Daphnia pulex: one gene and its partners. The protein of the gene in region 3 binds, or shares a complex with, the protein of the main gene of each other region. Links are inferred from orthologs where the notes say so. Each region holds a gene or a part of one and is shown on either strand. Other genes may lie near its edges.

Evidence for each region. The genes of interacting proteins can lie anywhere in the genome.
Region 1: chromatin modification-related protein MEAF6-like (region 3) and histone acetyltransferase KAT7-like share a complex: the UniProt entries of both Homo sapiens proteins name them as parts of the HBO1 complex. The link is inferred for Daphnia pulex from reciprocal best matches to the Homo sapiens genes MEAF6 and KAT7.
Region 2: chromatin modification-related protein MEAF6-like (region 3) and histone acetyltransferase Tip60-like share a complex: the UniProt entries of both Homo sapiens proteins name them as parts of the nuA4 histone acetyltransferase complex. The link is inferred for Daphnia pulex from reciprocal best matches to the Homo sapiens genes MEAF6 and KAT5.

The regions. Positions count from the first base shown.
Region 1 is NC_060023.1:9,594,139-9,597,895, reverse strand, and holds the start of histone acetyltransferase KAT7-like, read left to right. Parts: upstream 1-1,416; 5' UTR 1,417-1,515; coding exon 1,516-1,539; intron 1,540-1,775; coding exon 1,776-2,263; intron 2,264-2,326; coding exon 2,327-2,496; intron 2,497-2,573; coding exon 2,574-2,867; intron 2,868-2,930; coding exon 2,931-3,068; intron 3,069-3,128; coding exon 3,129-3,391; intron 3,392-3,452; coding exon 3,453-3,679; intron 3,680-3,757. Other genes in the region: probable 2-oxoglutarate dehydrogenase E1 component DHKTD1, mitochondrial, read left to right, coding at 1-89. UniProt on the Homo sapiens protein: Catalytic subunit of histone acetyltransferase HBO1 complexes, which specifically mediate acetylation of histone H3 at 'Lys-14' (H3K14ac), thereby regulating various processes, such as gene transcription, protein ubiquitination, immune regulation, stem cell pluripotent and self-renewal maintenance and embryonic development.
Region 2 is NC_060018.1:12,586,595-12,590,258, reverse strand, and holds histone acetyltransferase Tip60-like, read right to left. Parts: upstream 2,852-3,664; 5' UTR 2,801-2,851; coding exon 2,729-2,800; intron 2,667-2,728; coding exon 2,609-2,666; intron 2,535-2,608; coding exon 2,466-2,534; exon of another isoform or gene 2,402-2,465; coding exon 2,093-2,401; exon of another isoform or gene 2,026-2,092; coding exon 1,951-2,025; exon of another isoform or gene 1,879-1,950; coding exon 1,682-1,878; exon of another isoform or gene 1,620-1,681; coding exon 1,536-1,619; exon of another isoform or gene 1,474-1,535; coding exon 1,149-1,473; exon of another isoform or gene 1,085-1,148; coding exon 922-1,084; exon of another isoform or gene 855-921; coding exon 638-854; 3' UTR 551-637; downstream 1-550. Other genes in the region: serine/threonine-protein phosphatase 2A regulatory subunit B'' subunit gamma-like, read left to right, coding at 1-166, 231-358, 425-542; threonine aspartase 1-like, read left to right, coding at 2,985-3,086, 3,146-3,429, 3,495-3,664. UniProt on the Homo sapiens protein: Catalytic subunit of the NuA4 histone acetyltransferase complex, a multiprotein complex involved in transcriptional activation of select genes principally by acetylation of nucleosomal histones H2A and H4.
Region 3 is NC_060026.1:14,090,984-14,093,754, reverse strand, and holds chromatin modification-related protein MEAF6-like, read left to right. Parts: upstream 1-1,371; 5' UTR 1,372-1,439; coding exon 1,440-1,514; intron 1,515-1,580; coding exon 1,581-1,787; intron 1,788-1,845; coding exon 1,846-2,046; 3' UTR 2,047-2,186; downstream 2,187-2,771. Other genes in the region: histone deacetylase 8-like, read right to left, coding at 1-156, 228-420, 490-561, 620-796, 859-1,033, 1,167-1,313; V-type proton ATPase subunit D-like, read left to right, coding at 2,418-2,458, 2,567-2,684, 2,754-2,771.

The DNA of each region.
Region 1 (3,757 bases), on a different chromosome or scaffold from region 3:
GCCCAGTATTGGCAGCTCCTGCTGTCGGGGTTTCAGCCATTCACAAAGTCGAAGCTGCCAATTTAATGAAAGATATTTTTTCTAGTTAAACCTGTTTTGCATTCTCAAAGTACATTATTGCTACGCTTTTTCTTTTTTAACTAATGATGTAAGCTTACAGTTGGTGCTTGATATTTTAAAAATTTATTTGCGGAAGTTAACTACATACAATGATATTAAGGGGATTAGGAAAATAAATAAACGTTAATTGCTCAATTCCAAAAAGAGTCTGAATCGTCGTCGCCTACATTTCTGCCACTTAGCGGACCAGATATGGGATCATCAGCACCATCGGACTCGGAATCTAAACAGAAAGGCTTTATTTTTTGTGGTGATTGATGTGGGGAAACGTGTTGAGCGGCTTCATCACTAATAACTGTTTCCATAGGTTGTAGCTTCCGGAAATCTTCGTCGTTGCTGCCTTTCTGAGATTCATCGTAAGTAGTAATAGGATTTGCTGCCGGGATTTCCGTTACGCTGCTCAAAGGAGTTTTGAGTTCGATGGTTGTTGTAAGTTTGACATCTTTTTCTTGTTCCAAGTTATTCTCAAGGACTCCAATTGATTCTTCTTTTAATAATTCCAAATTTGACACAGCAATAGAAGGTTGATTTGGATAAGATTTTCTTTGCTTTGCAATGACATTGGGAGTAGAACTACTTGGTGGAATAAAATCATCCACTTGTGGAGATGCAACAATATTTTGAGCTGGCTGTTGAAAGTCTGGAACTGAAGTCGTCAGGGGATGTTTATCCTGAATATGGCCTTGATGATGACTCAATGATTCATTTTGAAGTGCTGAATGACTATTTGAAACTTTGCTATCTCTAGTTTTATTGAGACTCTCTAAAGTATCTTGAGAATGAGGCACAGCAAGTGTAGAAGAACGAATGTTGAGGTGTGTGCTCTGATCACTTGCAAACTGCTGGGCATCCAATTCAGGGAAAGGAGATGGGGTATGAGGCCAAACACCTTCTTCATGCAAAGAATGTTGCTCTGAAGTTGAAGAGTTATGTGAAGTGTTCATTGCCATTTCTCTTGTGTGTTTTCTGCCGCTGTGACCAGTTAATGGACGTTCAAGTTCAAAGTCTGTCATGTCTATGGCAATGTTTCTTTGAATTTGAGCCCACAGAACAGGATTCTGTTGCATAAGTGTTCTTTCATATTGATTTCTCATCTGTTGGGCAACTTGAGTTTGGGCTACCAAATCAAATGATTTTGCTTCAAATTTCTTTAGTTTCACTAACAATCGACGATTGGACTCTCTTCCTTCTGCATCTTGTTTGCAAAACTGCTGATAAGAATATTTAATGCTTTCGCTAAAGCCTCCGACATTGAAATTCATGACAAACCGGTCACAACACAAACACAACAGCAGTTGAAAATGGCGGATAAATGTGTTGTCAATAAACAAACTAGAGCAGCTTCAAACATAGAGCAGTAACCCTGTCAAAAACTTTGGAGGAGTAAAAGGCAAAATGTCTAGCAAACCTAAAAAAAAGGTGCGTAAATAACGTTATTTAAGATGATTTAGCGTATGAAAGTGATAGATGTGTAATTTTCTTGTAATTAGTTTTCTTAAGAAAGCATTTAAAAAATCCAAATCGTTGTAAAATCGGCAAAATACACAACCTGTTTGGAACCACTAGCCGAATATAATTTCGTGCCAAAACTTTCATTTTACGTTATTGTTGTCGGTTTATTCTTCGTTTTAATGATTTGTTTTTTTATGAAACAGGTGAGCAGCTCAGAAGACACAAGTTCCAGTAGCAGCAGTGATAGCAGTTCATCTTCATCATCATCAGGAAGTGATTCTAGTAGTTCAGATTCTGAAAGTTCACAAGCTTCGGCACCAAAGCAGTGCAATAAAAAAAAAGTGAACCGAACACGAGTGTCCAGCACCAATTCCAGTTCAGATTCTGCTCCCAAGAAAGAAACTCCAGTTAAGAAGGAAGAACCCAAGAAAAAGCAAAATAATGCTCCGACAAAGGCAAAGCCACCCCAGCCATCAAAGAAACCAGCAGCCGCTGCAGTGCCTGCAAAAGCTGTTAAAAAGCCCCCTGCTAAGAACAGCACACCAGTCAAAAAGCAACCTCAACCAAGTTCAAGTGCAACCGTTTCTGAAGCAAGCAACAAAAGTCCTAAACTTCAGCAGAAGATGAGGAGTATTTTCAGCCCTGAAAATAGCAGCATGAGTAGTGATAGTGATGTTCCAACAATTCCCAAGTATTATATCATATGTGTAGTTGTTTTTGTGCAGTTGTGATATTCTCATTATAAAATTACCAGGAAAAGTGCAGTGTTGCAGTCATCTGAAGCATCGGATACAGACACAGAGTCTGGGAATCAGGTCAACCAACCCAAGTCAAAAGGTCCCCGTGCAAGAGTCCAACCAAGACCAGCAGCTAGGAAATCATCTGAAAGTGAAGCAGAGACTAAAACAAAGGGAAAACAACCTGGTAAAATTTTATTTGTGTATTTTTAAATTATTATTTAACGCTTCTACATGATACATAACGATTTTTCAATTGTACAGCGAGGAAATTAACGAGATCTTCCAGTGCCCGAATAAGAAAAAGTAAGCACGTCATTGGTAAAGTTTCCGATTCGGATTCCGAAGTCGAAGTTCCAGTCAGTAACAAATCGAGCAGTGCAACGGGTAAACGGAAACCAGCTGCTGCAAAGGGAAAATCGTCATCTATTGGCAATCGCAAACTTACACCCAAAGAAATCAGCAGCTACAGTGGCAGCGCTCCGTCTTCTCATGAGAGCTGTAACACTCCGTCAGTAGAAGAGAAGAAGTGCCCAATGGCTGGCTGCGATTCCTCAGGTGAAGCTTTTGTAATTAATGATAGAGTTTGGATTTTTTAAATTATTTATTTTGATTGAATAGGTCATTTAAATGGAAAAACTGACCGCCACTTAAGTTTGCAAGCCTGCCCCTCTTATCACAATTTAACCATGTCTGAATGCGCTGCCCTACGTCTCAACGCAGAATCTCAAATCAACCACTGGTCCGCCATTAGTACAAGTAAGTACTTTGAATCATTTTTAATGCAAAGAAATGTATTAATCGCTTACCATTCACCAGATCGACAAGATTTTCATGTTCGAACTCCAAGATCACCGCGATCATCTGGCCCGACAAGTGAACAGTTAAAGGAACAACAAAAAGTACGCCAAGCACGCGCTCAAAAATCTGAACGAAAAGAAATCGATACATCAGCACCAGCCGAGCTGGACGAAAACGCAGAAGATAAGTGGAGAGAAAGAGAACCTAACCTAACCGGCCTCACCTCAGAATACGATCTGGCGTTATTCCGGGCATCCCAGGCTGAAGCCAGCACCAAATATGTGAGTACCCCATGTCTGTCGTATGTAAAACTAAGACTAATTACGCCAATTTTGATAACAGGAGGATGAACTGAAGAGTTTACCATCTGCGGGCGGTTTACGATTCATCGAGATGGGGAGGTTCGAGATGGAAGTTTGGTATCAAAGCCCGTATCCTGACGATTTAGCCCGGCTACCGAAACTCTACCTATGCGAGTTTTGTTTAGTGTATATGCGGTCACGTACCGTGTTGAGACGGCATGCCGCCAAGTGTGTCTGGAGACATCCACCTGGTGACGAGATTTATCGGTAAAGCGGAACATCTACGTTAACTGTGTTACATCTAGTTTTGCCAATTTTTCCTTTCCTATTCCTTGGAATTCCTTT
Region 2 (3,664 bases), on a different chromosome or scaffold from region 3:
GGAGTGCATGACCTATGAGAAAGAAATGGATTATAAAACGTACTTGGATTTCGTATTGGCCATGGACAATAAAAAGGAACCACAAGCACTTCAGTATTTTTTCCGTTTGTTGGACGTCAATCATCGAAACCATCTCAACACTTTTGACCTCCATTTTTACTTCAAAGTATTAATTTCCTCATTTGACCTTTTGACTTTCTTATCTTGAAAAAAAAAAAAATGCTTTGCAGGGGGTTCAAGAGTTGATGCAGCAGCACAAACAAGAAGTCGTTGCTTTTGACGACGTCAATGATGAGATTTTCGATATGGTGCGTCCTGCCGATCCGTCAAAAATCACTTTACATGATTTGATTAACTGGTAACACACAAAGTTCATTTAGAATTTTTTTAGAATAAGATTGTCATTGAACGTTTTCTGGCTCAGTGGATACGGTGAAACTGTGATCAATATCTTGATTGATTTGGATGGATTTTGGACATACGAGAACCGTGAAGCTGTTGTCGTAACAGACAAGAATAACCAAGAGAAACAGGACATTTGAATTTGGAATTCTTGTACATAGAAATTGTGAGTGTATTTTTTAAAAAAAAGCAAAGAAGTAGCAAGATCGCGGAATGGATTGTAGGTGCGATCTCATCACCATTTCCCTCTTTTGGACCAGTCTTTCGGTGTCCAGTGCAAGCATTTGGGATCGATGTGTAATTTCCATTTCTCTTTGTTTTTTATGCAATTTTTCATCGCTTCTTCGTTCAGAATGAGTACGTACTGCCCCTTGTAGTAATTGATGAGGTTCAAATGCTGTAAGGTGGACACCACGTCCTCTTTTTTAATGCTCGTCATTTCGCAAATTTCGCTATTTAAATTAAAACGAATTCGTTTGTCAACGTGAGCTCTAGAATGAAGTAATTTACATCACTTACTTGATGGTAATTTGAGGACGTTCACCTTCACTGGATGGTTTCATATTCATCAGAATATCACAGATTGTAAAAGCCCAGTAACTGCGATAAGACAGCAACCCTAAATCGGACAGAGGTTTTTCTGGCGAGCCCGTTTTGCCTTCGAACTTGGACAGCTCGTAACCTTTACGTAAACAAAAATGGTTTTAAAAAAATATTTCCCCTTGGGTTTACGATTCTGTACGCACTGAATTCAATAAGAAGTTTTCCATATCCTTTCCGTTGATAGGGTGGTAATGTTAAGATGCAGGCGACATTGTAGTCCTCCGAGCTTTCTTTCTCTTTGCTAAAGTAGCCGACGATATGAAAACCTCGTGCATCCACTTCAGTCATGACGTAAAAGAGGAACGGATCAGTGTCGTAATACAGTGTCTTGTGATCAAGGAACAGTTTCGCTAGCAGGCATAGGTTCTGAGCGTATGCTTTATTTTTACGGCCGTCGATTTCAAAAAAAGAAATTGTCTGTTTGCGGTAAACTTCATTGCCTGGCGGATGTCTAAGATTGCACTTCATCTGTAGAAAAAGTTTAAGGGTTGATCATCCAATTAAAAATATATCGTAAAATTTTAAATTACCAGATGACGTTCTAGACATTTTTCACTTTTCCGGTACTTGAGACAAAACTCGCATATGTAAATACAAGCTTGGTGAACCATTTCCTAATTTTTGAAAAAGAATAGTAAACATTTCGGATCTTTACGTTCGTTAGATGATGACATACCTGAGGGTAGGGTGCGAAATACCAAGGTTTTATTCTGTGTCTGCCGAGTTCAATCATTTGAATATTTTTCATTCGTGTTACAACGTCATCGTGATGTGTAACAAGACTGCCCGACTGACGTGGCCCTGGTGTAGTCGGTGCAGGGGTGGACGGTGGGGCCGGAGAGTTAGCATCTCCTACCTCACAAACTGAATCACCTATGCAGAAAATTTTAGTTTTAATAATCATTTATATATAATAAATAGATTGTAGAAAAAATGACTAATTACTTGTAGGAACAGCACAACTATCGCTAACTACGGTGGGTGGCAGAGTGGGGATTGCTGGTAATTCTTTTTCAATTTCTATAAAAATAAAATTTAAAAGAATTTATGAAAAATGTAAAGAATTAATGAAATAAAATAACTTTACTTATAAGTTTCTTGGCAGGTGGGATTGGAATAATGGATCCTGGACTGGGCTCTTCTTTTTCTCCAATTTTACGTTTTCTTCCATTTCTCTTTTGTATTGCTGCAGCCAGTAGAGCAGACCCATTGACAGTAAGGTCTGATGCACTGGATGCAGCTAGTGGGGAAGAAGGACGGGAAGAACCAGTTGTTCCTCCAACTTTTTTAGGAGTACTCATGCCTGTGCCTACTTGAGTTCCATCTTTTCTAGGAAACTGAATTTTTCTCGTATCTAAGAAATCTTCTGAGACCCAATCATCAAGTCGTTTGTTGACTAGAGTTGAATTAAAAATTTTGTAAGATGATGTATCGTTAAACATAGCATATACAAAACTTACAGTCGATGTAATGGACATAAAACATCCTGATGTTGCAGATATCTTTGACACTGAGTACTTCGGCTAGAGCTAAATGATAACAAAAGAAAAACCACAATTAAACTTTCAAATCTATAAAATGATAACAAAGCAACAAATGTTACGCCAGTCTTCGGTGTTTCTCATCCGTACAGGCAACCGACAGCCTTCAACAACAGATGCCTAGATAATAGAATAAACAAAATTAAACATGGTTTCTAATGAAATAATGTAAAAATTCATACAGTTGAATCTGAAAACAGATCTTTATCTACAATCTCTTCTTTCATTTTTGACAATGACTGTTCGGTCTTCATTAGAGAAAAAGCTTTCAAAACAACAGTGCGCGGCCATGAGCGACATTGCCGCTTTTGCCGGTTGGAAATGGTAGTCTTCTGCTAGCTCTCTCACAAACTGGACCGATCAGTCCCATTTCAAATTGTAAAATGAAATTTCGGTTATGAAAATTCTCGACAAAATTTAAACCATAAAAGTGCAAAAATGTCACAGTATGGATTTGTTGCTATTCATCTTGGAGCAGGCTGCCATAGTTCAAAATCTGAAGCTATTTACAAAAAACTTTGCAAAATAACGTGTGAAAAGGCATGGCTTTCTATTAGTGATTCATGGTTTCATAGTTTGACTTGATAAGTTTTTCCCAGGGAGCAGCTTTATTGCAAGAAGGAAAATCTGCACTAGATGTTACGTGTGAATTGGTTTGCATATTAGAAGATTCACCACTAACTAATGCAGGATATGGCTCCAATCTCACTGAGAGCGGTGAAGTTGAATGTGATGCAGGAATCATGTTGTCTTTGAAACATCAAAGAAACACACGATTTGGAGCAGTCTCATCACTTAAAAGTATTAAAAATCCTATAATGGTAGCCAAAGAAATCATTTTATACCAGAATGAACCAAGACTTCTTGGTAGAACACCTCCACTGTAATTCAAAATACCATTTGCATCACTTAAAATGAGTGGTTAAATTAACACAGCCTTTTTTTTAGTGTTCTAGTAGGAGAAGGAGCGTCTGATTTTGCTAAAAACCGAGGTTTGAATCTTGTTCACAATAGCACTCTTATATCTGACAAAGCCATGAGAAAGTATAAGAAATATAAAGAACGGCTGGAAGTATCCAGAAAAGCTTTATCAAGTGGGCTAAAGATCACAGTGCAGC
Region 3 (2,771 bases):
GTAGGTAATTTGTAACTCTGGATGACAGCGGTGCAGCGGGCGTATGCAACGGGTGTCAAGTTAAATGTCCCTAATGGATCGTTAGCTAGGCCATCTGCTCCACATTGACATACAATTGCTTCCGGACGAAAACGTTTCATTACTTCCTGGAAAACTCTTTTGTCACAGATGAATGAATGATGATGAACCACATTGTAGGTTTTAAGGAGACAAAAGAAAATTTATACGTTTGAAAGACGTGGATGAAAGTTTCATCGCAAGCCCCATCTCTGAGTGGAACATTGCATGAATAGTTGCGACCCCTGCCGAAACCAGTGTCGTTGACTGAACCTGTACCCGGAAAATATCCTTCTTCATGTTTATGTAACGATAGCGTAAACACTTTGCGGCTGTAAGCGAAAGCATTTTCAACTCCGTCTCCTTAAATAAATAAAAATGGGTTTGTATCAATCCTTGTATACATTTACACTGAAAAAGGGTTGGACTTACCGTGGTGAATATCCAAGTCAATATAAAGTACGAGTTTGAATTTTCTTTCCAATTCTAGGATGGCAAGAACACCTGAAAATCCAATAGTTTTACCTTGTGTTTTCATTATAAAAATATTAAATTATTGTACAGTCATTGATGTAGCAGAATCCTGATGCACAATCTCTCTGAGCGTGATGCCAGCCTCCACAGAAATTTACTGCCACATCAACAGATCCAGAAACAAGTGCTTTGGCTCCTGCTACAGATCCACCAGCTATCACAGAGATAAAGTCATCAAGCTTGTCAAGTGGGGGGCAGTCAAATCCTTGATTAGATTTTAATGTGATAAATTAACATTTCCATTACATGTTTCCATATTCATATTACCTAAACCATATTCCTCACTGGATTCATCCTCTACATCCACATCACCTTTGAGGAATTCAATGTAATCGGCAGAATGAAATCCTTGAAAGACGTCATCATTAACTTTATCACAGTTTAAAAGCAAGACATGATCTAAGAGTCCATAAGATTCCAGCAAATGATGAACTAATGAGGCCTGAAAAGAAACAAAGCAAAAGTGAGATCAAAATACGTTATATGTACTATTGAAAGTTAGTTGTACATAATGCTTAAGTATGTCAAAATTTAACTGTGACATTTTTTAGTGGTGAATGGAAAAAAAATGTTACCCTGTTCTTCAGGTTTGGTACTCTATTACATTGATGAATTAATTCCGGTGAATATACATAGCCAATTTTAGATTTAGGGGGACATTTTATGATTTTTTCCTCGTTATCATCACAGCTCTTTTTTTCGTCCGGCAGTATACCCGCCATTTGAATAACGTTGTCTGCACCGCCACGTTCACTAGCGACATGGCGGACAATAAAGAAACCCGAAATTAAATGGCCGCCAGCATCGCCTGAACAACAAAAGAAAAGGGCGAAATTTTGGCTTGTAAAATGACTAAAAATACATCCAGCTCCGATTTACGATCTGAACTTTCTGACCTCGTCAAACGAAGAATCGAAGTCGCCGTAAGAATGAATTCAAATTTAACCTTAAAAACTGCCTACTTCATTGTTTATATTTGTGTTTTGTAGGAAACCCTAGCCAACTTGGAAAGACAAATTTATGCATTCGAAGGTAGTTACCTGGAAGATACACAGCTTTACGGAAATATTATTCGAGGATGGGACCGTTATTTAAACAGTACTAGCAAACTGTCAAACCCTTCATCTGACAAAAGGAACAGGAAATTCAAGGAAAATGAAAGACTTTTCTCCAAGTCTTCAATTACTTCTATGGCGGTAGAATTGCATGACACTTCTACTGAATTAACAGAAATAAAATTTCTTTCAAACCTAGGCTGTGAGCGGGATCATTGATCTGAATTCTGAGAGAGCAGAACGAAGCAGTGAAACTGAATCACAAGCAGGAATGAGTGGAAGTGACGAAAACAGCAGAGATTTTCTCGGTTTAGAGGGGGTCAATGGTGATAAGTTAGGAAAAGTTTCAAAATCCAGACATATAAATAAAAGAGGGAGCAAGAAGTCAAAACTGAAATAATTTCATATTCACTGTTCATTTTCCTATTCTCTATAACATGGTTTCGTGAATGCCCTTATGAATGTACCTTCCTAAGTGTTAAACAAACTTTATGTCTGTGTGTCAATTTTCTGGTTTTCTGAATAAATGCTCGAATTAAACATTCCAATGTTCTCGCAATTCATTTTCCGATTCAGACTTATTACGTAAATATGTTTCATCCTTCTATCGCCAGATGGATTTGAAAGCTCATTTGCTCCTCCCCCTCTCTTCCTTCTCTTGTTGTCACATGATCAGATGATTCTTGTCAAAATTCGGTAACCACACACTAAACCCTCTTACGAACCCTATTCGTTTGTATTGTATTATTCAGATCCAGTTTTAATCACACAATGTCGGGAAAAGACAAAATTGCCATTTTTCCTTCTCGAGGGTATGTCATATTTATCTTTAAGACGATTCAGTTGTAATTTAGAACATATTAGAGCTCAATAACAACTTTCAAGTTTTTGGTTTAATTCCTTTCTCTTGACACAATCAGAGCACAGACTTTGATGAAACATCGGCTTGCCGGTGCACAGAAAGGCCATGGTCTTCTTAAAAAGAAGGCAGATGCTCTTCAAATGAGGTTCCGCTCAATCCTGAAAAAGATCATTGATGTAAGTTGAAAAGGAATTAAGTATCTACTTTACTTGGCATTACAAAATAATTATTACTCAATGTTTCAGACAAAAGTACTAATGGGA